4 linked regions of the Drosophila melanogaster genome follow. The protein of the gene in region 2 interacts with the protein of the main gene of each other region in a pairwise test. Each region holds a gene or a part of one and is shown on either strand. Other genes may lie near its edges.

Evidence for each region.
Region 1: the proteins of D (region 2) and otp interact in a two-hybrid assay, tested with the Drosophila melanogaster proteins (2 studies listed by BioGRID).
Region 3: the proteins of D (region 2) and trh interact in a two-hybrid assay, tested with the Drosophila melanogaster proteins (one study listed by BioGRID).
Region 4: the proteins of D (region 2) and ind interact in a two-hybrid assay, tested with the Drosophila melanogaster proteins (one study listed by BioGRID).

Annotation. Positions count from the first base shown.
Region 1 is NT_033778.4:20,899,301-20,905,909, forward strand, and holds the start of otp (orthopedia), read right to left. Parts: upstream 4,115-6,609; 5' UTR 3,486-4,114; intron 2,994-3,485; 5' UTR 2,759-2,993; coding exon 2,728-2,758; intron 1-2,727. UniProt on the Drosophila melanogaster protein: May be involved in the development of the central nervous system.
Region 2 is NT_037436.4:14,173,457-14,180,227, forward strand, and holds D (dichaete), read right to left. Parts: upstream 5,165-6,771; 5' UTR 5,113-5,164; intron 5,037-5,112; 5' UTR 3,883-5,036; coding exon 2,734-3,882; 3' UTR 2,154-2,733; downstream 1-2,153. UniProt on the Drosophila melanogaster protein: Essential for segmentation and CNS development. May modulate the actions of other transcription factors, including gap and pair-rule proteins.
Region 3 is NT_037436.4:388,756-395,141, forward strand, and holds the start of trh (trachealess), read right to left. Parts: upstream 3,879-6,386; 5' UTR 3,354-3,878; exon of another isoform or gene 3,251-3,353; intron 3,039-3,250; 5' UTR 3,006-3,038; coding exon 2,731-3,005; intron 1-2,730. UniProt on the Drosophila melanogaster protein: Transcription factor, master regulator of tracheal cell fates in the embryo, necessary for the development of the salivary gland duct, Malpighian tubules and the posterior spiracles.
Region 4 is NT_037436.4:15,041,419-15,046,567, reverse strand, and holds ind (intermediate neuroblasts defective), read left to right. Parts: upstream 1-2,643; 5' UTR 2,644-2,703; coding exon 2,704-3,666; 3' UTR 3,667-3,769; downstream 3,770-5,149. Other genes in the region: Rpn12R (regulatory particle non-ATPase 12-related), read left to right, coding at 4,064-4,852.

The sequences.
Region 1 (6,609 bases), on a different chromosome or scaffold from region 2:
CACTTCTCGAAATCGCACTTAGCCGGCTAAAAAACACGACTCGACTCGGCCCGGCTTGGCTAGTTAGTTAGTTGGTCTAACTTTGATTTTTTCACCTCGCCTTTTACAGTTGTAACACATAAATATTAAAAAGCAGCAGCCCTAACTGTTCATCGTGTATGCAGATCAAGATGACGCAGTAGTCTCATTCAGGGCTAAAGTTTCTGCATTCTGAGTAAGCTATTAGCTGAACCTATTTGAGTTTTTATTAGAATGGAAGTTAAGACTTTACAGAAATATATTCTAGTAACCTATTTAACCACTTGTCTTACTTATATTAAAGTTTTAACTGGATGCAAAGTGTGTTTATACTTTCAAAAATTTAATTTTGATTTAAATTAAATTCACGCCTAAATCCATTACTAATTTTCCCATCGAACATAAGAAAGCTGGCAAACATTTTCCAAAATCTGCGTGTTAACCGCAAAACTGGCATAAAAACCTATCCATGTTCCCAAATCATTAGGACGCGTACTAATAGGGCATAATTTTGTTATCTATCATCGTAATTTAGTTTCGGTCCTCCATTTGCTACCTGGCCAAAATTGCGATAGTGTTAATACGAAACTGTAAACATTGCAGTGGCAACACAGATACACAGGACGCAGATACGTAGATTTACATCTGGCCCGAAGCGAACATTTTAGTTGGTCCGGCGAGAAAGAGGAGCGAAACGAAATGAAAACCGCACAAAGCGATTAATTAATTAAAATTGGCAAACATGAATTTATCGCGCAAGCAATTTGCACAATTTGCGCAAATCAGTTTGCCTGTTTTTGGGAGCGAACGACGCGATTTCTCCCGCAAAATATATGGACCTGGCCGGAATGGCCAGCCGAATGGCCAGAAACGGACTTTCATGGCCGAGCACTTGCATCCAGATTCGCCGTCAGTTGCATGTGCATTCAGCAATGTGCATAATTATTGAAATTTGGAAATTGTGCGGTTTTTAGCAGGACATAGGCTTTGGCCTTTGGGCCTCGAGTTGGCAAACTACGATGCAGATCGCTCCGATTCGGTTTGGTTTGAAATGGAATGGAATGGCATGGCATGGCATGGCATGGCATGGAATCTGGGCTGCTCCAACAACTAACCGCAACTGGGAACAGAATCCGCAGCAACCGCAAAACATTTCAATGCAAAGCGGATATGGCAGTGGGGGGTTAAGCGGTGTTCAGCGGGGTTAAGCACACATATTTCACTAGCCTAGGCCACCGCAAAAATGCCGAACGCACAAAGCGAAGCACGCGCAGATATTTCGTGGATGCAACGGACGGGTGGGGGTAAACCTGAAGGGGGTCTGTGCAAATTACAAATGCAATCATGAAATTAATTTAATTAATGCGAGGCTCACGAAAAAAGCGCCCAAACGAAACGCCATTCGAGCTCCTTTCGCTGCATGCAAATTAAGCATTAGTAGGGGAGAGACAATACGAATCCGGGGAAAGTTCTGCCATTTCTTTTGCATGCAAATTGCTCTTAATTGTAAAGGGGTGGTTAGGGGGGCATCCACTTTTGCCCCTCTCGGCCACGCACCCAGTATGCAAATGTTTTTTGGCCTCTCTGTTGTGCGAAACTCGGAAAAAGGCTCACGAAATTTATTATGGCAGACTCCAGCACTGCGGGCAGGATTTGTCCAAAGGATTCCGCACTGCGATTCATTGAAATTTATAGTTCTTCGTGGGCAAATGGAGCTGGCTAAAGTTGAAGCCGGCGAAAACTTTAAAAGCCAACTTTGGCAGTCGCAATCCATGGCAGATAGCAAACCGTCAGATCAGTTTCGCTTGCTAGCCCTTAATTAAACACCCATCTTCAATGGCAACTATGGACATTACGCATACGCCGCGTGCACCGAGCGGCGACAATTGGCGCGTGAAAAATGGCAATAAATTAATAAAAGTAATTAATGGCAACGCTTCGAAGGACGCAAGGATGCTGGCAATAAAAATTGAATATAAACGCGAGCCATAACTCATCCATGGCTGCTGCAGTTGCAGTTGCAAATGCACTTGCAAACTGTATTTTCTGGTAGTGTTGGACGGCTAACAACAAATTGATTGCCAAAATTGAAAGTGCTTGAATCGTTGATCAACAGTGTGGTAAAAATAATTTATTCACCTGCACACACGCACATACATATGTACATATGTGTATTCGGAATTATTAATATATTAATATGAGGACACAAGTACAGTTTGATAATTATGTGCGTGCGCCGGGTGAATGTGTGAATGTAATTCACAATTTGCGGCATATTTAAAAGAGCAATTATATCAATTAACACAAACACACCCACCCACACTCGATTCGGAATGGGCATAGGCATATGGGAATGGGAATCGGAGAAGGTTTGCCGAGTTAGTTAAATACACAACTTAATTATTGCTAAATGCACGCGACACCTGGCGCCATCTGGTTAGACGTCTCAATTATAGGCCATTTAGCAGACATGGGAGATGCGATGGCAATCGCCAGATCGGAAGTACGACTAACTACCCCTCCGATCTTTTGTGGGTGTGCTCAAGAAATTAGTTTAATTATGGCCAGGCGGATCGTATGCCATGGATTAATACACACATTATTATACATTAGCGCAATTCACTTGGCGATCTTAATTGCAACATTATACGCAGCTCCCGCCCGCAGCCCGCACTTAAAACGCTATCGAGGATTGGGGGCGTAACTTACCCAGCACATTGGCCCCAAGATTGTTCAGCATGTTTGCCGAGAAATTGCGGATCGACAGAGTCGACAGTTTGTCGCTGTTTCTGATTGCTGCTCCGAAAGTTAGGATTCGGGATCCAATTTGATTGAATCGGGAATCGATATCGACTGGTGGTGGCGGAATCCCAATGGGAGTTCCTGCTCGTATACTCGTCTATCACAGAACGTTGGAGTTGAAGTTCACCTGCGGTGCAAATTACATCTCAATTGTTCGGTGGAAATGGGTGTGGCTGCAAGTAAACAGATTTGTTATTTTTGGATGGGTGGCTTCTGCTCAACGCAAATATAAACATACATAGGTGACTTTGTGCTTTTTTGGAAGTACTTGTTAATTTTCAATACTAAAAGTTTTTAAATTGACAAGAGAAAATGGTCATTAACTTGTTTAGCAAAGTTTTTGTTTATGTTTATAGTATACAATCATATGCAATAAAACTGCTTACAATGTATCAAGATTTCTGGAATCATAAATGAATGTTTGATTTTTGTCTTGGCAAAACATTTAAGTATACTAATTGCTCGTGTGTTGTGAATATTTGGCCCAGCCCTCTCTTGAACTTTGACCCCTGTCAAATGTCCAGCTATTTGGGTAATTTAACTATTGTGCGACTAACCAGAAAACTAAATCCGTTTCACTTTCCTTAACCGCAGAAACTTCTGCCGAAGTTCGATTGTGTGGGCATTTGCATTGAGTTTTATTGCTCATTTGGCCAAGGACTCACCTGGCTCCTCCTATCGCTCGTCCTTTTTCCGCCTCCTTGCTTTTTGTGTATGCCACAGGGTTATGGGCTGGGGTCAGAGTTCAGGCCAGCAGACGATCAAATTGCCATAGTAAAATTAATTAAATGCCTTGACCATAAAAAAGCCAAAGAAATTAAATCCAAGTCACTTGGCCGGAAGTTGAAAAGTTTCCTTAGCTCCCACACACACACACACACACGCGCACAGCTGGCACACACACACAATCGCACTCACAGACACGCAGACATGCACAGCTTAGGGACACGCAATGAAACGGAAGTCGAATCGTTTATTGATGAACTGTTTGACCAACTGACAGCCGGACACTGTCCGGCGGAGGACACGGCTTGCTTCCACCTTCGGGTGTGGTCACTCGTCCTTGTTTTCTACTGTTTAATTGATAGCATTTTTACACTTCGGGCACATTTTCACTTAGTTATTCCTTGGCACTTCCCAGTTAGATCAATTCGGTTAATGGTCTCTGCCAGTGCGACGGCTTTCTAGGCACTAGCAAACGGAAACGGATCGAATTGTTTCGGATCGCACTATTGTATCGTATGGGAGCTGTACGCCGTATACGTAGCGCTGCTCGCTTGCATTTGAGGGCAGTGCGAAAAAATCAAAGCGAATTGACTACGAAACCTGATAACTTCGACAACAACGACTGCGCACTGGCGCCGCATTCAATCGCCACCCCCTCGCACAATTGACGGTTAAGTCAAGCGTTATCTCTGCCAGCGGGCTTATCTCTCGCATTGATTTGCAAAAATCGCAAAGAGCACACACCGTGCCAGTGCCCCGGGCGGGCGAGGAAAGGAGACAGCTAGCTGAGCCCACAGCCATCTTGCCGTCGAGCCAAGCATGCTGACTCGTTCGCGCTTGCCCTGCCAAGTGGTTGCTAGAGCGGGTCGGCTATACTCGCTGTGCGTAGGCCAGACCACGCCCTCAATGCAGACCAACGAATGAGGGAACTCGGGAGCTTGTGGCCCCGAACGATAGCACTTTTTGGCGCCCTCGGCGATAACAGGTCCTGCCGCCTATCGATAGGCGGGCTATCATCGATGCCGAAACAGACCTCGATTCCCCTCGAAAAACTTCAACTATACTCCACAGCTGGTCGCGTTGGCAACCGGCGCTTGGGCCACAGTTATTGCTGAAAGTCCACTCCTCCCAAAAATGCGCCTTGAATTCTTACTCAGCGTTGTTGATGCCACGTGTCAGCTTTCAGCCTCACCTGTTGTCGTTTATTAGTTTTTGTTTCCGTTTTTTTTTTTTGCCCGTCTTTTTGCTGGAGGGGAAGTACCTCCGACATTTGGCGGAATTTTATAATATTTTGCATGCTGCACAAACGTTGAATTAGCCAGACAACGGAATGCCGGGCGAAATAAGAGTTTGTCATGGCAACCGCAATTCAAAGGATTTCCACCCCACTTCCTGCGCCCAGTTCAAAGTCCTCCCACCGCCCCTCAAAAGTCTGCAAATTATGTTGGCCTTCTCCCTCCGACAAATACATACAGCTAAATCGGGGGCGTTAATTAAAAACTCTAGGTAGCAATTAAAACCACAAGAAGAATGCAAAAAATCGCAGCAGTTGTAGTTTGTTTTGCAATGAGCATAATTCAAGGTTCACACTTGTGCGGGGTGACAAACGTTCTAAAATAATTTAAAAAATTTAATAAGTGGCGTAATAAATTTAGATTGATAATTGTACACAACCTATTAAGTCTTGTATTTCACAAACTTGCATACTAACGTGTGAAATACTTATAACAATCCCACACAAATGTCGAAAACATCGAACAGAAATTTTTCTGTTAGTGTATTATAAAGTAAACAAGCCGAATAAATCGTGATAACATCTCAATTCGTTGTTGGGCTCACTTATTAGAGCATATGCATCACTTTTCATTTTTTTTCCTTTTCTCACATGAGGTACATAAAAAAACTTCGAGTGTGTTAATTAATCAAAGGCGTTATCGGCAGCAAAAAGAAAAATAAATTTATGGGAAATGTGCGGCGTAGACTTGTTGAATTTCGCCATATTAGCCAAGGATTAATCATCTAAGGAGTCTCAATTAGACCGCATTTTGAATGCCTGGCATGAGCATGTCGTAAATCACTTTGGCCAAATCCGGGCAGCAGATAGTGACTGTGACCAGGACAGCTGCGAAATCCTTGAGTTGCCGGGACCGGCATACCAAGAAGCATGGCGGAAAAAAAAAGCGCAGCTCAAATGCAAAGGATTCCGAATCCTTCGGCATGCACGACGTTCTCTTTTGACTTTGTTTGGCAATCGTTTAAGCCCGGAAAGTCGATGATGGAGATTTCAGTGTGGAGGGCTATGTGTGGAGAACCAGAACAAGTACGTGCAGTCAAACAGATTTCCAGTTAGCAGCTCACAACAATTCGCTTTTAAGCCAGCGCATAAATCAACCTCAAAAGATATCCCCAATTTTTCGGGTCAGGGGGATGCGGCGGGCGAAAGCGTTAAATTTCGAGGGGGTAAAAGTTTTTTTTTCTCGCCTCCGCGGCATTTTATTGAAAGGATAATCGATTGCAGCAAAAATGCTGGCAAGGCATTAAAGGATTCGACTTTGGGCAACTTTAAAAACTTAACCCAAGGCGATGTCGACGAACTGAGCGATGTGAAATGCTGCTCTTTGCGGTCAATTTAATTGAATGATGAATTGCGTCGGACACTTGGGAGGTGGGGTTCGGATGCCGCAGAAAATTCTTCAGTTGTCACGGGTACTTGTAGCCGAAGGATGAGATGAGTGGAAAGAGATGGGACACTTGGGGCGGCGTTGGAAGGAGCCAGAGAAGGGGCTACGACAAAGACGAATACGCATAATCAGTCAAAATTTATGACAAGCTCGAACCCGAAAGTCAGCTTAAGCATTTAATTGGCCCAGGTCCAGTTGGCCGTCCCCCCAGGACAGTCCTAATTAGCATGGGCATTCATGTACATGATGGAGTCCATTTTTTGTCGCCTCCCACTACTCCACGCTCCGCTTGCTCCTAGGCTGCCATGTGTTCCCGGAACCCAAAGAGATTTTCACTGTTTCTCGACTCTGACTGATGAGTCCGCTGGTGAGCTCGGGTGTA
Region 2 (6,771 bases):
AGAGCAACAACAACCCAAACAGACAGCGCTAGAAGCATAAAAATCTCGCGACATTTCGCACACTCCTTTCTGCGGACCGGACGCTAATCCCCGGTCATAAAGTCGTAAAAAAATCGAAGCAACCGGGAGGCTGCAAATTATATTTGTATACAGACGTGACCAAATGGGACGAAAGGCGTGGCTTTTGGGAGTAGGAGGCGTAGGCGAGATGGGTCGTAAAACGTTCTCGACAATCCTTAAAAACCCAACGAGTTGAAATGGAATTTCAATTATTCGTGCATCATTTTTTTTGGATGAAATGTTTAAACTATGGATCAGGAAGGCGTGAGCGGGCTTATGTTTTAAGCTTGGCTTAGTCGGATGGATGGATTGGGCGTTTAGCGAAAGTTAATCACTTCCGTTTGGGTTCGGCAAAGGCAACATCCGATATTTGATCATAGATTGTTTTAATGGCTGATTATGGTTGTAACTAGTTTTATGATCAGAATGTTATGATGCGAAAAATGGCATAAAATTTAACTTGTAAGATTCAAAGTAGTTACGAAATATAATGTAATAAAGTAGAATAATAAAATACAATATGTTACTTCAGCAGCGCGAATTCTTGAGCCGCTATTATCTAAAGGATGTCAAATTAAAATGCAATTTTTAAAATGCGGATGCCGTTCTTTTAATTGATATTTATTATTTACAAAATCTGTAATAGTTTCTAGATTTGAAAAATAGTTATCCAATCAAAATACTATAAAAACCTCTTTCCTTACAATACAAATGTATTGTTGAACCCTTTGGAAGCCTTTACCGCTGTGCACACAAAGTAATGTTCCAAAGAGCTAAGCCAGAAGAATCCAATTTTTATATAATTATTCAATATCACGTCAATGCTGGGTAAATATTTGTTTGCAGAGCAAACGGAGAATGGAGAAACAAGGCATGGAAAAAAGACCAATATCAACAATACGCATAATAACAACAATAATCAATATTTGATATTTTAACACATTTGACATACAACGTGGAAAACGAAGGGGAGCGGGGCAGAGGGCATTGAATAGACTCCCAAAGACTTGAAAACGGCAATCGAAGAGTCAGAGTTCGGGGGAAGACAATGCAAGTGGATTTATTAATGACCGCAATTATTCTTATTATTATTACGAAAAGAAGCTAAAAATCAAAACGGAAAAACACGCGTTGATTTCTTTCGCCAGGGTATTCAGTTACACTCCGAATAGTGAGGTCTTAGAGGGCCCAGGCCCCCCGTTGATCCCGAAAAAAAAACACAATGTGACCCCCATCCAAAGAGCGAAGAGACGACCTTTTGTTCAAACTATCGAATTCTGTCTTGGAGGCGCAAAATAAACAGCGCATTAATCAATAGAAATTAATACACAACGGCAAATAGTTGTATAATGGCAAATCAAATTTAGTTTTTTCATCTCTTCCCAGCGGGTGTAAACTAACCAACAAAAACTCACACAGAAATGAGCGAAATAATAGTAAAGACACCCAGAGACAAGGTTAATTTGATCAGAAACGGGATAGGACTTTGATATTAAACGAATACTACTCACAAAACAGAAAAATTCATACCCATTATTAGGTGATGATGAAATGATTGTTTTTAAGCTTTATCCGAATGACTCACTCAATCCAGTTGAGAATATTATGTTAATGGTCTTATGAATATTCAAATTCGTTATTAATTTCGTTGATAATTTTGATGCATGCTCAGAGCACGACCCTGTATAATCTTAAAGGTTATGAAAAATACAGACACAAATTCGAATTTAAATATGATAATCCAATTATGGAGTATAAAATATAATCAGCTGAAAAATTTAAGTCACATATAGCTTGGGCATATGTTTAAAGTAAATTTATAACATAACTGTAAAATGTGGTATGCTGGCTAAGAAAATGGGAAATGCATTCTATTAAAGGCTTAAAATTATCTTTTTTGTTTTTCAGCTTTTTCCCGGTATATATATATATATGATAACTTCGTCTGATTCCAGTCACAACAACTCTACCTATGTCTTTAATGTGATTACATTTGGTAGAGAATCATCATCATTCATTTCAAAACCAATTGCCAGTTTCACATCTTCCAAGCTGTAAATTATTTGAAATAGAATAAACAGGTTTTCAAATTTGGTTTTCTCAAATCATTTTGTTTTTATTCACTTTTAAATGTCTTTGTTTTGTGTTGGCCTTCATGAACCATTATTCGCTTAGATGATAACTTTTACAATACAATTAATAATACAATAATACATTGATGTACGTTCTTTCCTCGCATTTGGGGCTACACTGAGACTTTAACGAATAGTTGCAGGGATATTTACAATTTGAGAGGGTTAGACAATTAAAACTATAAGCTACATTTTAGGTAGGTGCTGATGCGAAAAAAAACAACAAGAAGGAGGCGCTCGCTCGATGCTTAAAACTAAATAAAATTAATTTACAATTAGGTTTATCTTTTTTAATTTTCTTTGCGGTATAGTGAGTGCGCTAAATAAATTATAATTTATAGTTTGTGTATTGGCTAGGAATGTTTTGTGTGTTCCCTCCTTACTCTCTAGATCTGAAGTGCGCGAAGATTGTACTAGAATTAAGCGGAGTGGTTTGGAGGATTGGCTTACTTAGAGCTTTTGAAGATTTAAAACCAGTGGATCACTTTGGGAATGCGTCAACAATTGTACTCTACTCTGTACTCTAACCTAAAACTCGACTCTAATAGAGCACCGGAACCGGTCGCCTCAGGGCACTGTCCATGGAACCATCCATACCATTTGGCGTGATGGTTCCGGGCGAAGATCCCGGCGAGGAGGTGGACGAGGATGGGTAGAGTCCGGCGGCATTGGCGGAGTGTGCGGCGTACAGCGAAGGTGCCGAGATGCCGGAATAAATGCCCGAGTAGAAGCTGCTCAGCGAGGTGGGCGGCAATTGGGGCGGGGCTTGTCCTTGCTGCTGACCCTGATTGTTGACCGCCGCCGCCGCCGCTGCCTGGGATTGATGCAATTTCGATAGAGCCAGTGGGTCAAATCCACCGAAGTACGGCACTGGATAACCCTGATCCAGATGGTGTGAGGGTGCAAAGTATGGCGGTAGTTGATGGAATGGATTGTAGCCTCCGGCTCCAGCTCCCGGTCCAGCTCCCAACTTCTGTTGACCCATGCCGCCGGCCTGCATCTGCAGTCCACCCTGGGGTCCAGCGGTCAGTGGGTTCTTGGGCTTGCGGCGTGGCCGGTACTTGTAGTCCGGGTGCTCCTTCATGTGCAGGGCCCTCAAGCGCTTGGCCTCATCGATGAATGGTCGTTTCTCCGACTCGGCCAGCAACTTCCACTCGGCACCCAGGCGCTTGGAGATCTCAGAGTTGTGCATCTTGGGGTTATCCTTGGCGATCTGACGACGCTGCAGGCGGGACCAGACCATGAACGCGTTCATTGGACGCTTGATGTGACCCTCTTGTCCCGGCGATGTGGCCAAACTGTGCATGCCGGCGGACTGGTGACCCGAACTGGAGTTGAGACCACTGCCATTGCTGCCCAGGCTGCTCTGGCTACCCAGACTGCCGGCGGATCCGATGGAACTGTTGGGCGACAAGGTCTGTTGGGCGGAGACCGCCTGGTGCATGTGGTGCGGGGTCATGTGACTGGACATGTGGTGACCCATGCCCGAGGATCCGTTCACACCCTGGCCGGCGGGTCCATTGGGCGATCCGCCCATGGCTGCCAGGCTTTGGGAGTAGTGCAGCACACGCTTGATATCCATGTCCATGCCGGGACTCAGCTGGAGCTGACTTTGCGGTGCGTAGTCCTCCAAGCCTTGGGCCTGACCCAAATGGAAACCGTAATTGGGGTGTGTCGATAAGGTGGCCATTCCAGCTATTTTGAACACTTTGTTTAACTTTTGCTTCTTTCAAGATCAACACTTCACTTTCTAGAACACAATATGTCTGTGGTTCAACTGTGATTTCTCAGATTTTTTCTTTGTCTCTATGTCAATTACTGTCTTGCTTTTGCTTCTGCTTTGCTCTTGCTTTGCTTCTGCTCGGATCGACTGCTTTTTTGTGACTGATTTCAGTAGTGTTCCAGTGCGGCCTACACGACTGCAGCCAAATCCCGTTTCTCTCGGAAGAGAGTTGAGCACGAAGTGCGAGCAACCCTCGCACCATTACCTTTACGTAAGCCACGTGGGTGCGAGCGGGATAGAGGCTGGGCTTCTTACCTGGGAGAGAGCTGCGCCGTCGTCGCGCTCTCACTCACACATAGCGTCTTCTCTCTTTCGTTTTGCGGCCCATTGTTCCACTGGCTTTGTTCCATTGGCTCCTTTATATCGGTTATAGTTGTTCGCCCATTGAGGGGTGTGTTCAATAGAGGAGCTCAATAGAGCCAAAAGCCAGGCAGCTCTCGTTCGGCTGTGCTTCGTGTTATTCGATTTAGCGACCCCAATCCTGTGGGGCAGGGGGAGCTCAAAGTACGGAGCGAGAGAGAGAAAGAGAGCCAGGGCGAGCGCGGGAGCACATTGATTTTCGCACAGTGGGCACACAATTTCCGTTATTGTTTGCACGGCGGCGTTGCACTTCCGCATCTCCTATGCAGTTAGAACGAGAGAGGGAGAGAACACAACTCTCTCCCCGCGTATGTGTGTGCGTGTTTGTTGGGCCAATCACAATGGGTCTTTGGTGTGAATTTTTGTCCATTGTGGGTGTCTGTGTTCTGCTATATACCGTTCTCTATGTGTACTCTGTAGTCAGTACTATGTGTGTGTGTGAAAGGACTTTTTAGTTTGTGAAAAGGACATGGAAACACGCTTTCCATTCTCTTGCCCCGCTCTCCATTCTCGCATTCTTTCATTTCGCTCGCCATTCTTCTCCATTCTTTTCCGTTCCCTTTTTGCCACTTCTTCCTGGCCGCTCCAGAAAGGATATTACTGCAATTATTTACTTATTTGGCCATAGAAAGAAGCCCACAAAGGAGCCAGTGGAAGTGAGGCAAATCTTCACCCAGATGCATGTAGAACGGTCCTCTGTGCTTTATTATAGAAAAGATGTTTTAGCCAGCTTTTCTTTTTGGTTTACCAAATAAGCAGTAGCAAAAGAAAACAAACCTTTTAATGTTGATTGAAAGGACAAGGGCAATCGAATAATTGACAATTAAATCTACCGCAAACTAATGTTTTTTTCATTCGTAACTAAAAGAGTTTCCCAAATAATAATAATAAGTTTTCAAATTCTTGTTAACACACATATTTACCTCTCTTTCGAAACGAAGACATAATTTATGGCTTTTGTGATGCAAAGATTGTAAGAGTTTAACATTGCTTCATTAAACAACATCTTGACCCCAAGAGCCGTTGTTTTAATAAAAATGTTTCTTTCAGGAATAAGGTTGCAATATTCTATTATATTTTTTAAAACTCCATAACCCCAAAAGTAAAACCATTCTCCCCTTTGAGCTTTTATCCCACCCTTCTCTTTGCCTTTCTCCTGCTCATGCACGCACCCACACAACGATGCACCAAAGCTTAGTGCAATTTCCAATTGCATTTACAAAGCTCTTATACCTGGCCCATAGCGTAAGAGCATAAAAAGCTTTCAGCGTTCGCAACGTTTCCGTTGTGTCTGCTTTCCCCAAAAAAGGAAGAAAGGACAACGTAGAACGGCAACAACAACGAATCTCAAATAATAATGAAAGCAAAAACTGTTGTACGTTGTGTAATGGAAAAAGTTTTGTCCGCGTCACATTTTTCTTTCTGAGTTTTCAGCATTTCACTTAGCAGACGAGGACACTAAGTGAGTGATAATAGCACACAGTGTAGGATGAATGCAGGATCCTGTTTCCTAAAATCGCTCCCCACCCACATGCGGCATAAATAATTGTTACATTTGTGATACAATTTATGATGAATTCCTTATTTTATATAAATAAATATTCTTTTAGAATCCAGTTAAAATAAGTGTAAAGAGTAAAACAAATAAGGATAAACGTTTTAAATTATTAGCACATATACTCTTTATGTGTTTTGCTATCAAATTCAATAAATAAATAAGCTAGCTGATGCATTTTTAATTTCATTTTTGCGGAATAGTGACAATCAAAATTGTCTTAAGAATATTGTTCAAATTAGTGGAAGTTGTAAAATAATTCATGATAAACTTCTAATACTCGTAGTTGGATAAATAAACTCTAAATATGTTTTCTGTCTAATTTAATAATTACTTAAGCTAATAATAGATTTTCTTTCTTTGTTATGGTGCCGTGCAAACTGAAAAACATTTTATTTATCAGATATTTATCTGATAAAAATCTATCAGTATAAATACAGTATCAGAGTGCAGTTGAAAATTAAATAAATGTAAATTTAATTTGATCGCATAATGGCAGGTGAGAGATGAGTCAAGTTGTGCCGTGATTACTATTATTCGAATACAATATTAACCATTATCCTGTCGCCAGAAATCACCCTCACCGCTTAACCCATTCGAAATTCACCGATTCTCCGCGGTGAAAGAGAAAGACTCGCGTTTTATTGTTCGTTCCTGCATTGTTGTTGTTTTCGATTGTTGATTGTTGTTGTTTTCATTCAATTGTCATTTGGGGAGCTGGTTTCATTTTTATTTGTTGTATTCCGCAAATATAATTTTTGTCATTCATTCTTTTTTAATTAAATTCAGGAACAATCGCGCAAATGTAAGACTTGACAATGTCCAGAATGGATTCAATGATAATGAAAAAATTAAAACGAATATAAAAGGCAAATGAGGTT
Region 3 (6,386 bases), about 14 Mb from region 2:
ACACCTTTGCGAATCCCTGGATTTTCATCTCCTTATTGGAGGGAATATATATATTCTGATGGAAACTACTGATTGAACTGGAATCTGCGGCCTTTCTTTGTAGGCAGATGCTTTGATAAAGACGCGTTCTAATTGGAATTTTTGGGAAAGTATTTTGTTGGTCTTAACGTTCTGATAAAAATGGCTTAAAGTTTCTTGGTGTAACTCCAGAATTTAACCAAAATCTTATTAGCAATATAGCAATACTATAATACTTATATCCCCCTTCTTGTTTCGTTTGTTTCCCAAATCCATTTGCTGAGGTTGCCACTTGGATCTCCCGCTTTTAATGTCTGTTCGCCATTTCTCATATGTTCATTCCCATCATCAAGTTTATATGTCTGTCCCGCCATATCCCCGCCAAATCCCCGGACGGAGCCAACATAATCGCAATCATAATCTGCTGCATTTTATTTCATTTTCTCGCACTGTGCTTTGTTGCTTTTTTGTTGCCTGGCTCTTTGTTCGGTTTCATTTTGCTCTTTATGCTTTACAGCAATTTCTTAATGGCCGTCTTGCAGTGCTACTAACCCTGGTACCCCCTAAATCCCCTCCCTGGGAGCTATCTGGGTATCCAAGTCCACCAATCACGTTCGAAATATAAATTGTTGAAATGATGGTTTTTCACTGCACATTTTGCGGTGTTACCGTTGTCTGGGATGGGGTCTTAGCCATACGGAGGGGGCTATCGAGGGGCGATGGCTGAAAGGGGGACTTGGCCTCGAAAACCGCAAAGAGCTCGAATCCTCTTTGCTGACCATGGAAAATTGTGTGTGGAGATCGCTTTGTGCAATGAAAATGCGGTTCGTGCTCCTGGCCCGTATTGGGGTTTTTCATCCCCCTTTGCCGCCCGTGAAGGCGCTGGAAATTCCCCCTGGAAATTCCCCTTCCAATATACAAAGCAACAAAGTTGTCGGCTGTAATGAAAAACAAACGTCCCAGCAATTTTCCAGTTAGGTCAAAACTCTTTTTGTCTCACTCGTTTTTAGTTATCGTGGCCCCTCCCCCGTGGCCATCCATTTTTCCCAGTGTAATGTAACTTTAACGAATTGAGGCATAAGCAAAAATAAAAAAGTGAAAAATAAAATGAAAATAATGGGAAAAAGACCAAAATGAAATTGAGGCAGAGTCATCAGAGGCAGCCCATCGCAGGTTGGCGAGGGGAAACAATCACAGTTTAGATTTCAGCAGGGAACCCTTTTCCCGCCGCGCTGGTTGTGCTTTTAATATTACTTCGCGGCCCTCTCTTCGCGTCTTCGTCAATATTCGCCAAGGTAATAACTCAGGTGATTATAGTAATTATGCGTTCTGACGCGATCCAGCCACGGATAACGCTATTCCGATATAATTGAAAAATGCTGATAGACGCTGATTGTGTGAGCCGAGAAGTTGGAGTGGCGGAGTCGGGAGTTCAGAGTCGGAGTTAAAGTTGCAGTCCCAGTTGAAGCTTAAGTTCGGAACATGAAGGCCTATGTGTGCCTTAGAGATGTGCGTGAGCAGCTTACCGATAGGCAAGAAAGTGAGTCACGAGACTCACGACCCTTGGCACAGCTATACAATACTATACTACAATACTTTTAATATTTAAGCTATTCTGGTTTTCTCGAATGTCTCCATATCCTTCTAACGTAGCATATTTATTAAATCTTTCGCTCCGGACTATCAATTCAAAAGGCCCTGTGGCCCATCTCTAGCCATCCCAAGTCCCAAAACCCCAGACACTGGTAGTCAAAGCTGCTGTGCCCGCATCTGGAACTCCTCGAGCCTCAATCCTCAATCTTAACTACAAACTCGACTCTTTCGGCGGGGCCACCAATCAGAGTTCATGAATTACATCGCCATTGCAATATTGTTGTGGGAATGTCTAAAAGAGGTCTCGGCTTAAGACAGAGCCCGGATTGCCACTTCTGCTTCATGGCTATTGCGGCGAAATGTTCTTTGATGCCGATTTCATTTTTCGATATTGAAAATAACCATGCATTACGGAGGAGGCTTATGTACTGGGAGTGGGAAAAGTGAAAGATGGAGGGAGCTGCCCAACTTATCTCGTGACAATCGCCCGACTTCGTGAGGCGTTCATCGCTCGCTTTTCGGTGGCCTGGCGAGTGAGTGTCGAAAGTGTTATTGTCACGTAAATTCAATTAGTTTAATTATGAGTTTCATCGATGTTGGCACCTCTGTAGTGCTCTGCCTGCACTTCATAACTGAAAAATTTTAATTTTCGGACATTTAATTTTTTTTTTTGGCGAAAGCTACTTTTGGGGGGGGGGCACACTTCGTGGTGGGTATGAGGTGACAAGGTGTCAGACATGCTGGGGTCAAAAATGGATATTTCAGGATTGTGAGACATATTTTCACATACGAATAAAAACTGATTAAGGAGGTGTACCTTGTCAGTTCCTTTAAGTCACAATTTTTTTTTACCTAGAACCTCAGTTATGAGCGAGCAATCGCCTAACTTCCACCCCAAAAAGGAAGTGGAATAATTTCTCCCTGTTAGTGGGCAGTTCCATCAATTGTCTCAGCATCTCCGCATCTCAGCCCATTGGATATCAGGTGGACACTTTTCCGCCATTGGCAACGCCCCCAAAATTTGCATGCAAACTCCAGCGAAAGAGAAACCAATAGAGTGTGCGAATGGAAGGGAAATATTGGTGCAGTGTGAAGTGGTTCTGGTTTCGTTTAATTTACCTGTAGTAGGGGAATCCCTGCGGCACATGCAGATCCATCGGCATCCCTCCGGCGGTTCCCAGGTGCGGATGGTGGTGCGGATGCGAGTGCGGATGTGGGTGTGGATGCGAGTGCGAGTGGTGGTGGTGATGCGAGTGTATAGGATGGTGCATCGAGTGGTTCTGGACATGCGCCGCAGCAGCCGCAGCGGCGAACCCGGCATCGGAGGCCATCGAGTGGTGTCCCAGAACGGCGGCCCATGGCGAAGCCACGAACCCACTGCCGTGATGCTCCATTTCTAGGAGTTCCTCTCTATCTATATATTATGACTACACGCAGGTTTATTAGGGTGAGTCCGGTTTTCATAGACACGGAATCGTAGGTGTGGAAAGAAAGCTTTGCATTAATATATCTATATGATGGCAGTATGGTCTGGCCAATAAAGTATCGTTCTAAAAATGTAATAAGATAATTGGAACAAAATTCTGTTCTGTTAATTCTTGTGACTTTTAATAGTTTTTTTTTTTTTTTTTTTTTTTTTAATTAAATTTTAAACAAATCAATTGGATTAAAGTTATGCCGATAGAATTCTTTCCGCCCCTGCGATTGATCTCTCATTCGTCCTACTATGGAACTTGACCCACCCTGATGCGAGACTATTTATTTTCGGCGATAGCTTTTCAGCTATTTATCTTTGATTTGATGTGGTCACACGCACTCTCACAGAGACACAAACACTTGCGGATTATATAGACATATTTGCACATTCCGTTTGGGCCAAGATGGCGGCCATTATTTACCGTTAACGCGCATGGCCGTTTTAGGGGGGAGTTTTCGGGAGGTGGCTCGGCTCAGCTTAGCTCAGCCCCTCAAAATCATCCTTGTCCCTACCAAAAAGAACCGACGGCAGCCAAAAAAGAGCTGATGCAAACAAAAAACAAGTGAACGGTGGCTGAACGTCGAGGAAGGACGACCAAGTCACAACGTCAACCTTGAATTAGGGGTGTCGCTAGCCGTTGGGTGTACGGATTCGGGTTACACGGAGGCGAGATACTACGGGTACGATAGGGAGCCGGAGCTGGGCTCTCTCGCATCTGGGCAGTGCTTTTCCTTTCGCACGTTTTTGGTCCGCGTTCACCTCTGCACGGCACGAAAATTGGCGATAAACTATCGCCTCGCCTCGCATCAGGAAACATGGTCGGTCGCCTCGGTCGTTTGGTCGGTTGGTCGGTTGGCTGGCTGGTTGGAGGTGGTTGGATGGTTGGATGGCTGGATGTTGTTGGTCCGAACTCAAGAGCATCGTCATCATCGTCATCTCATCTGCGCTGCATCTGCGAAACTTGGAGCGGCGCATTGCAAGCTGCAAATGGTGGTGGAGCAGGTTTTCGTATGGGAGAGTCGCCGCCACACAGATACAGACCCACTCACTAATGTGGTGTGGTCCTCTCCAGCATACAGCATCCACACATCATATTGTTGTATATATCATGTTCTTGTTTTGCCTCCGCCTCGGTCTCGGGGTCTCTCCCTCTCTCTAGAGAGTCGTGAACACCTGAGTTCTCTTCCTCGCTCGGGGCATTCTCTGGAGAATTCGGTGGAGCAACTCTCAACACGCCAGCGGTGATATTGTGTTCTGTGTTGTGGATGGTGTGTGATGTTGTTGAGGGCGAGATAAGACGGTCTACTGGGGGAGTCATTTGCTCCCATTATGGGGAGGCCCATTTCTGAATCGACTGAAGCACATAAAGGAAAATTTAGGATTTGAAATGGGAATTTGAAGGATAGGTCAGGAATATTGAGAAAGTATATTGAATAATGGCTTGCGCCAAATAAAATACTTTATAATTCAGACATATCTAAGTCATCAATTTTAGTAAAGACGTTCATAAGTTCGTTCTATCTAGTTCTTCGTTCAGCAATTGCATTACAATTGATGTCCACTATAAATTGTAACCATAAAACTTCGTTGTATAAGGAACAATGAACATGTCTGCCATATCTGCCCATTCCACCAACCTGACCTGTTCCCACAAAACATTTATGATTATTTCCATTGCATTATTTCCATTCTCATTCTCATAGTCATTTCCCCAGATGGCGGAAACGGAGGACTTAGAAGAGGAAGGGCTGACAACTTAGTTAAATAAGGCGCCACCTGTCAAGTGATTTTCAATAAAATAAATTCGTGATTACACGACAATATCGAAACGAAAAATCCAAGAGATCAGCACAACAATAACAAAAGACTCCCACGGGGAATGCTGCTGCCCGTTTGGCCTCCAGTCCTCCCCCACTCCCAACTCCCCAGTTCTACCTTCCTGGCCCATCACACACGACTTGGACTTCAGGTTGCGAATCCTTGGCACACACTCACATCCCCAAGCAAACGGAGCCTCCACTTCTGAATCGCAGTCGTGCAGGGTCAACGTCAATACTGAATGTTGTCGCCGTTCCAACTGTCCGTCCAACGGAGCGTCCGTCTGTCGTTGAGTCCGTCCGTCTGTCTGTCTCGGTGTCTTGGCTTGTTTACAGTGTGCAAAAATCATTTAGACAAGTTGACAAAAGCTCGTTTGGAACGTGAGTAACATGAGTTGGACCCGAGACTGGAGATTCGAACTGGGGACTCGAGACCTGAGACTGCTGCCTTGGCTGCCTTCGGAATTGGTTCTGCCCGTCCGCCGGTTGCCGTTTTCTGCGGTTATTTGGGCTTTTGGAGCTTCTCAAGTATCTGAGGTCTTAATTCTAAACATGGCAAATGTGCCTAGAGCGTGCTGCTCAGCTGCTGCTTTGTTTCTTTGCTTCTATAATACTTTGGCCTGCGGCGGCGAATAAAATAAAATGAGGCCTTGCCCCAGCCGACTGACCTTTGGCTGTAATGAAAATGCTATCCCAGTTAAGAATGTTGTGAATGTGCCAGCCTATACTGGGCTTAATGGTGGGTGTGATAACAATGATTGCAGAAGAGTCTTGAGTTGGGGAACTGAAATGAGATGAAAATATTGTATATGGTCAAAAAATCACGTAACCTGCAAAAAAGAACACGAAACATTTGATCCATCTACCATGGATAGCAATCAGACAAATATAACTATAATAAATATATATAAACATATTTTGCTTCGTACTTGTTTGTTTCACTTGAACCCAACACGAAGTAAGATTTAATGACCCGACCGCGAAGAAAGTGCAAAACTCATAAAAAAAAAGTGCGAGTCACGAATTTGCCATGTAATTGCCTTATATAAGACCTCGTACATATATGACCATGTACCTGTCAGGATATCGACAGAGGCTTCAAGTCGGGAATATGTGCTAAAAAGTACACAAAACTTGAGCCGGAGATGGAGGTGGAGCACACTTGCCGTCGTCCTGCGGCACGTGATGTGCATAAGAGAATGAGCCAGGATGCCAGGATACGCCGAGCATTTTCGTCAGGATTACAATTCTCACTCTTGGTAGAAATCCCCTGGAATGAGTATTGATTTTTTCGGGCGAAAGTTTAATGAAACTTCTAGTGATTCTAACTTGTAAAGTTTAAAGTAGAAACTATGCATCGATTGATTTATACCCTTGGCTTGACAGGTTTATCAGCCGATCGGGGAATGTGGCAAAGACCTTCTGGGTCTGGGGCGGATCGTATCGGATCCGTTTGATTGATTCGCTGAAAGTGCGACGAA
Region 4 (5,149 bases), 870 kb from region 2:
ATTGCACAAAACCCATCCTATATCGAGTAACCCCAAGCATTTCCCGAGGCCTATTGACTCAGTAACACGCAGAGAAGCCAGACTCAACCTCAAAGCTCATTCGTAAATTATTCAGGGGTAAATAATAATTTTTCTGAGCGAATGCATGGGGCTATATAAAAATGCATGGTCTATAATGAAGTCATATTTGTTAAATCAACAAATATACAAAACAAGAAAGTGGATAAACAAACCCTTGGCTAAGTAGCAACAATGGCAACTAGAACAATCAGTCAAAATGCAAATGTCACAACCAATTAATGTCAATAAATGATTAACCCAATCCGCATTTATAAGGGTTTCGAATACCCACTATGGTGGTGGTTCAGTTTTCAGAATTTTTTTTGAAACACCCCTTTAATGGGCAAATCCGGTTTGATGTTCTCCCCGACTCTGTTAGTTTTGCGTTGTATCCATATCAAAAAATAAGGGGAAGTAAACATTTCGTTATGCTTTCATTTGTTCAGCGTTTAGGCGACTTTTGTTCACAATTAAAATGAAATTGTTCGCTTGAACGAAGCCGATGCTATCTTGGAGATAAGAAAATTTGAATATTTCCAAATCCGAAACATTTGTATTCTTTATAAGCCATAGACGAAGTCTAAGTCAATAGCACGATCCAATTGTGAATAAAAAGGAAACCCGAATCAATCGAGCGTGCAATAATCGCAGACAAAAAACGGAAGTGGCCAATGGAGAAAATCTCAAGTGGCCCAAACAATTGTTAAAAGGCGGTCAAAAGGAGCTCTCGCACGAGACCAACGCAACGCCCAAAGAGCAGAAATTCCAACAAAAATATTAACACAACAGCATCTGCTCCCGATTTCGCTATTGACCAGTGTCCAGATTCCTTTTTGTTTTTTTTTGCACAGCCCGCCAATTAAGCAGAAGCCAAATACTTAAAAACCTTAAAAAGTGGGCGAACATTCGGATCGCCTACGTAGAAGTCGGTCGACAATTAACAATTAACGTCAGCAATTGTGATCGGTTTTATAGCCACTTAACATACGATCAACTGGCAGAAGGGCGACAATGCCGCACCTCGGCACAATGCCATGAAAAGGACAATTATAGGTAAATCCCTAAAGTCAGTTAACAAATGATAAAACTGCCGCCATAATTCTGTGTAATGTAGCCCAAGAACAACATTTCGGCGACGTACTGTCTGGCTTAAATGTCCCGACCTGGCCCAAAATACACACAAACAAAGGCGCAACGTGCGTCGTGTCTTGGATTTGTCAAAGGACCAAACGACTGCATCCATGAATGGGATCGTCCTGAATGGATGATCCTTGCCGCATTGTTCGCCGTAGTTGCACAAGCAGAAGAATGCATCAATAAAATTACGCCAAGGCGAGGACTAGGACTCAAAGAAGAGATACATATACATATACCCAATGTGCTGGAGGGTCTGGTAAACGGGAGTTGTAGAAGTAAAGGTTCGATTCGAGATTTCGGCAGCCACCACTTCGGGCCATAAGTTGCCATGAAATTGGCATTAAACGGTTGGAGGGCTTGCAGTTTTCAATGGTTGTAAAATTAATCGATTCGATTGTGAAGGGTCACTGAAGAGGTTTTCTTGTAATGCAATAAATTACAAACAAGATACTGTGTAAATTTCGTTGGCTATTTAAAAGATCTTCCTATAAAAAGAATTACAATTGCGCTTGCTTGTAAGTAAAAACAGATGGTTATAATATTAATAATTTTTGCAAGAATGCTATGGATGCTATTTGTCTTTTTCTACACAACAAACACTTTAATATAATTTGATTTGTTTACCATAAAAATATAAATAATTCGTTAAAACCTAACAATGATGAAAAAAAGCCAATATGTAAAAGCCTGAAAATGAACGAACTGCTTATAAATACAATATCTGCTCATATGATAATATTGCTTATAATGACTTTTTTGATGCTTCTTCATAACTTAAAGTTTTATGAAGTTGCATTTGTTTATTTTTCAAACATAAGTTACTAGGCAAATTAAAAAAAAATATATATGCAAGCAATATATATGGATTTTCTAATAAAACTATTAATTAAAATTTGTATTTTTAATTAAATACATTTTTAACACTGTCTATAAAATAAGCTGCTTGATGATTTTATTGAAAGTTCGAAATACCAATAATGTAATTTGATCTAGCTTAGGCTGAACTAATTCAGTTCCGTTTAAAAAGCTTTTACGCACTCTCTTCAACTTTCAATTAAACTCGAGTGATAATACGAATTGGAAAGACTGATTCGTTCCACAGGGACACCAATACAGTCCCATCGCACACACCCAAGCCCACACACACACACATACATATGTATGGCAGGATGGCAAAGGAGGGTTCGCCATTGTCCTTTCGCACAGATACAGTGAATCATCGCTTACCTGCCATTTGCGGCATTGTGAGTGATCGAACAAGGGCGGAGCGTAAATGGCAACAGTTGTTGCTAAATGGTGACTAAATGGCCGAACACACTCGCTCAAACAACCCTCGAATTGGCCCTCAGGGGTGTGGAAGTGGCAAACCAACCCCCAGAACAGAGTCTCGAGGTATATAAGAACCGGGTGAGGGCGCAGCAGCCAGACAGTTTCGCACAGTCAGCGATCGTGTTCAGTAGCTCATCTCGAGATCAGTTGGAAAACGAAATACCCCAGAAACCCAAGATGTCGCGTTCATTTTTGATGGATTCCCTACTCAGCGATAGGCCCAATTTGAGCCAGAAGAAGGAGAAACTGGGATCGCCAGGAGGAAGTCCTACAGCCGCTGCTGCAGTGGCCGCAGCTGCCATGTTACCATCGATACCCATGCTTCCTTACCCGGCCAGCTATGTGGGCAGCTATCTCTTCTCCTTGGGCATCCAGCAGCAGCAGCAACAACAGCAGCAGCAGCAACAGCACGCAGCAGCTGCAGCAGCGGCCGCAGCAGCAGCAGCTGCCTTGCAGCAACATCCACATGTCAGTTCGAGTCCCGGTTCCCTTTACCATCCATACGCCCAGCTGTTCGCCAGCAAGAGGAAGTCCAGTGGATTCAGCAACTACGAAGGATGTTATCCATCGCCACCGCTCTCGGCCAATCCCAACTCCCAGCAATTGCCGCCAATACACAACCTCTACGGATCTCCAGTTGTGGGCGGATTACCCTTACCGGAACCTGGAAGCTTCTGCACATCACCGTCCGCTTCATCGTCCGCCTCTTTGGATTATACCAATAACTTTGATGAACCTCAAGGAAAGCGTTTCAAGCACGAGTCCTCCTGCTCTCCGAATAGCTCACCACTGAAGAACCACTCTTCGGGAGGTCCCGTCGAGATCACGCCGCTGATCAACGATTATGCCGATTCCAGCAAAAGGATCCGCACTGCCTTCACCAGCACCCAGTTGCTGGAGCTCGAGCGAGAATTCTCGCACAACGCCTACCTATCCCGCCTACGTCGCATCGAAATCGCCAATAGATTGCGCCTTTCCGAGAAGCAGGTGAAGATCTGGTTCCAGAATCGCCGAGTCAAGCAGAAAAAGGGCGGCTCCGAAAGTCCCACCTTCAATCTGTCCACCAACTCCAATGGAAGTCCGCAAGCATCTCCAGTGTCTCCCCAAGTCAAAGTCCACGAATTGAAGGTTGAGGCGTAGAATCAATCACCTATTAAACCATAAGAATAATGTAATTGTACAGTAGATTTTAGTCTGTTTTCAGTCATAAGTATGTTAAAGTAAATAAATTTTAATCAAAATGAAAAACGACGTTTTTGGGATAGATAAACCATAATAGAAAGCAATGATTTATTTATGCAAAGTGGGTTCACATCTAGCAGCTAAGTTGGCCCAAGATGGCTTTACTAAAAAATACTAAATAATTTTAAATTACGAACCAATTAAATGAATATAATAAATATATAGCAGCCCTGGAATATCCCTAAAAATACCAAACGCTAGTGTCGATATTTCGTTCCAAATTTGTGCTGTCAATCAAAACGAACAAAATTTTCATTCCCAAAAATTTAGTCGTTGTCGAGACTTTGCTGTAATCATGTCGAATCTGTACACCGAATTGAAGAACGAGTGGAGCAAACATGCGCCCAACCTCACCCACTGCTCCCGCCTCCTGGATGGCTTCAAACTGGAGCTGGTGAGGTCAAACTTTGGAACAATCCAAACTGCATCGAGTTCCAAGCAAAAGGATCAGCTAATCAAATCGCGGGAGATGCTGGAAATCGCCGTGGAACATAGCATCACCATCAAGGATTATGCTGCCTTCGAGAGATATATGGCCCAGTTAAATACCTACTACTATGATTACGATAAGTACTTGGAATCATCGAAGCACATGTACAAGTTCATGGGCCTAAATCTGCTCTATATGTTGGCTACCAATCGCCTTGCCGACTTCCACATCGAACTGGAACGTTTGCCGACGGCTTTGCTGCTCCATGATAGCTTCATCCAACCCGTTTTGGCTTTGGAGAACTACTACATGGAGGGCAGATACAACAAGATACTGCAAGCCAAGAAATCTATGCCCTCGGAGATCTATTCGAATTTTATGGACATCCTGGTGAACACGGCGCGTGAGGAGATCGCATCCTGCATGGAGAAATCCTATCTGAAGATGGCGCCCAAACTAGCTGCTCAGCGTTTAGGCCTTCGTCCCGGTTCCAAGGAGCTTTTCGAGCTGGCCACTAAGCGCCAGTGGTGTCTGGACGAGGAGGGGAACTACGACTATGCTGGACTTCATACCAGACCTATGGAGAAGGTTCCTGCCAAGGACATCGCCACGCATAATCTCACCTATGCCCAAGAGCTAGAGAAAATAGTTTGAATTTTCTCATTAGATCAATTCTTGCTTCTAATCCCCTCAACCGGAAAATAATATCCAGAATTTATACATTCGTCCAAAAATCAGTAAATAGCGAACCGGAAATTTGTCAGATTTAATTTTTCACACATCTCAATGGCTTCACTCGTTTATTTTTTGGCATAAAATGTGCAAAAATTGAGTTGCTCAGAGGGCCGCTAAGTCGACAGGCTTGACAAATTATGCGATTGGGAATGTTTTCCGGCGAAATCTCATTTGCAAATCTTTCATAGGATGATTGTTAGAGCTGCTTAGTGAGTG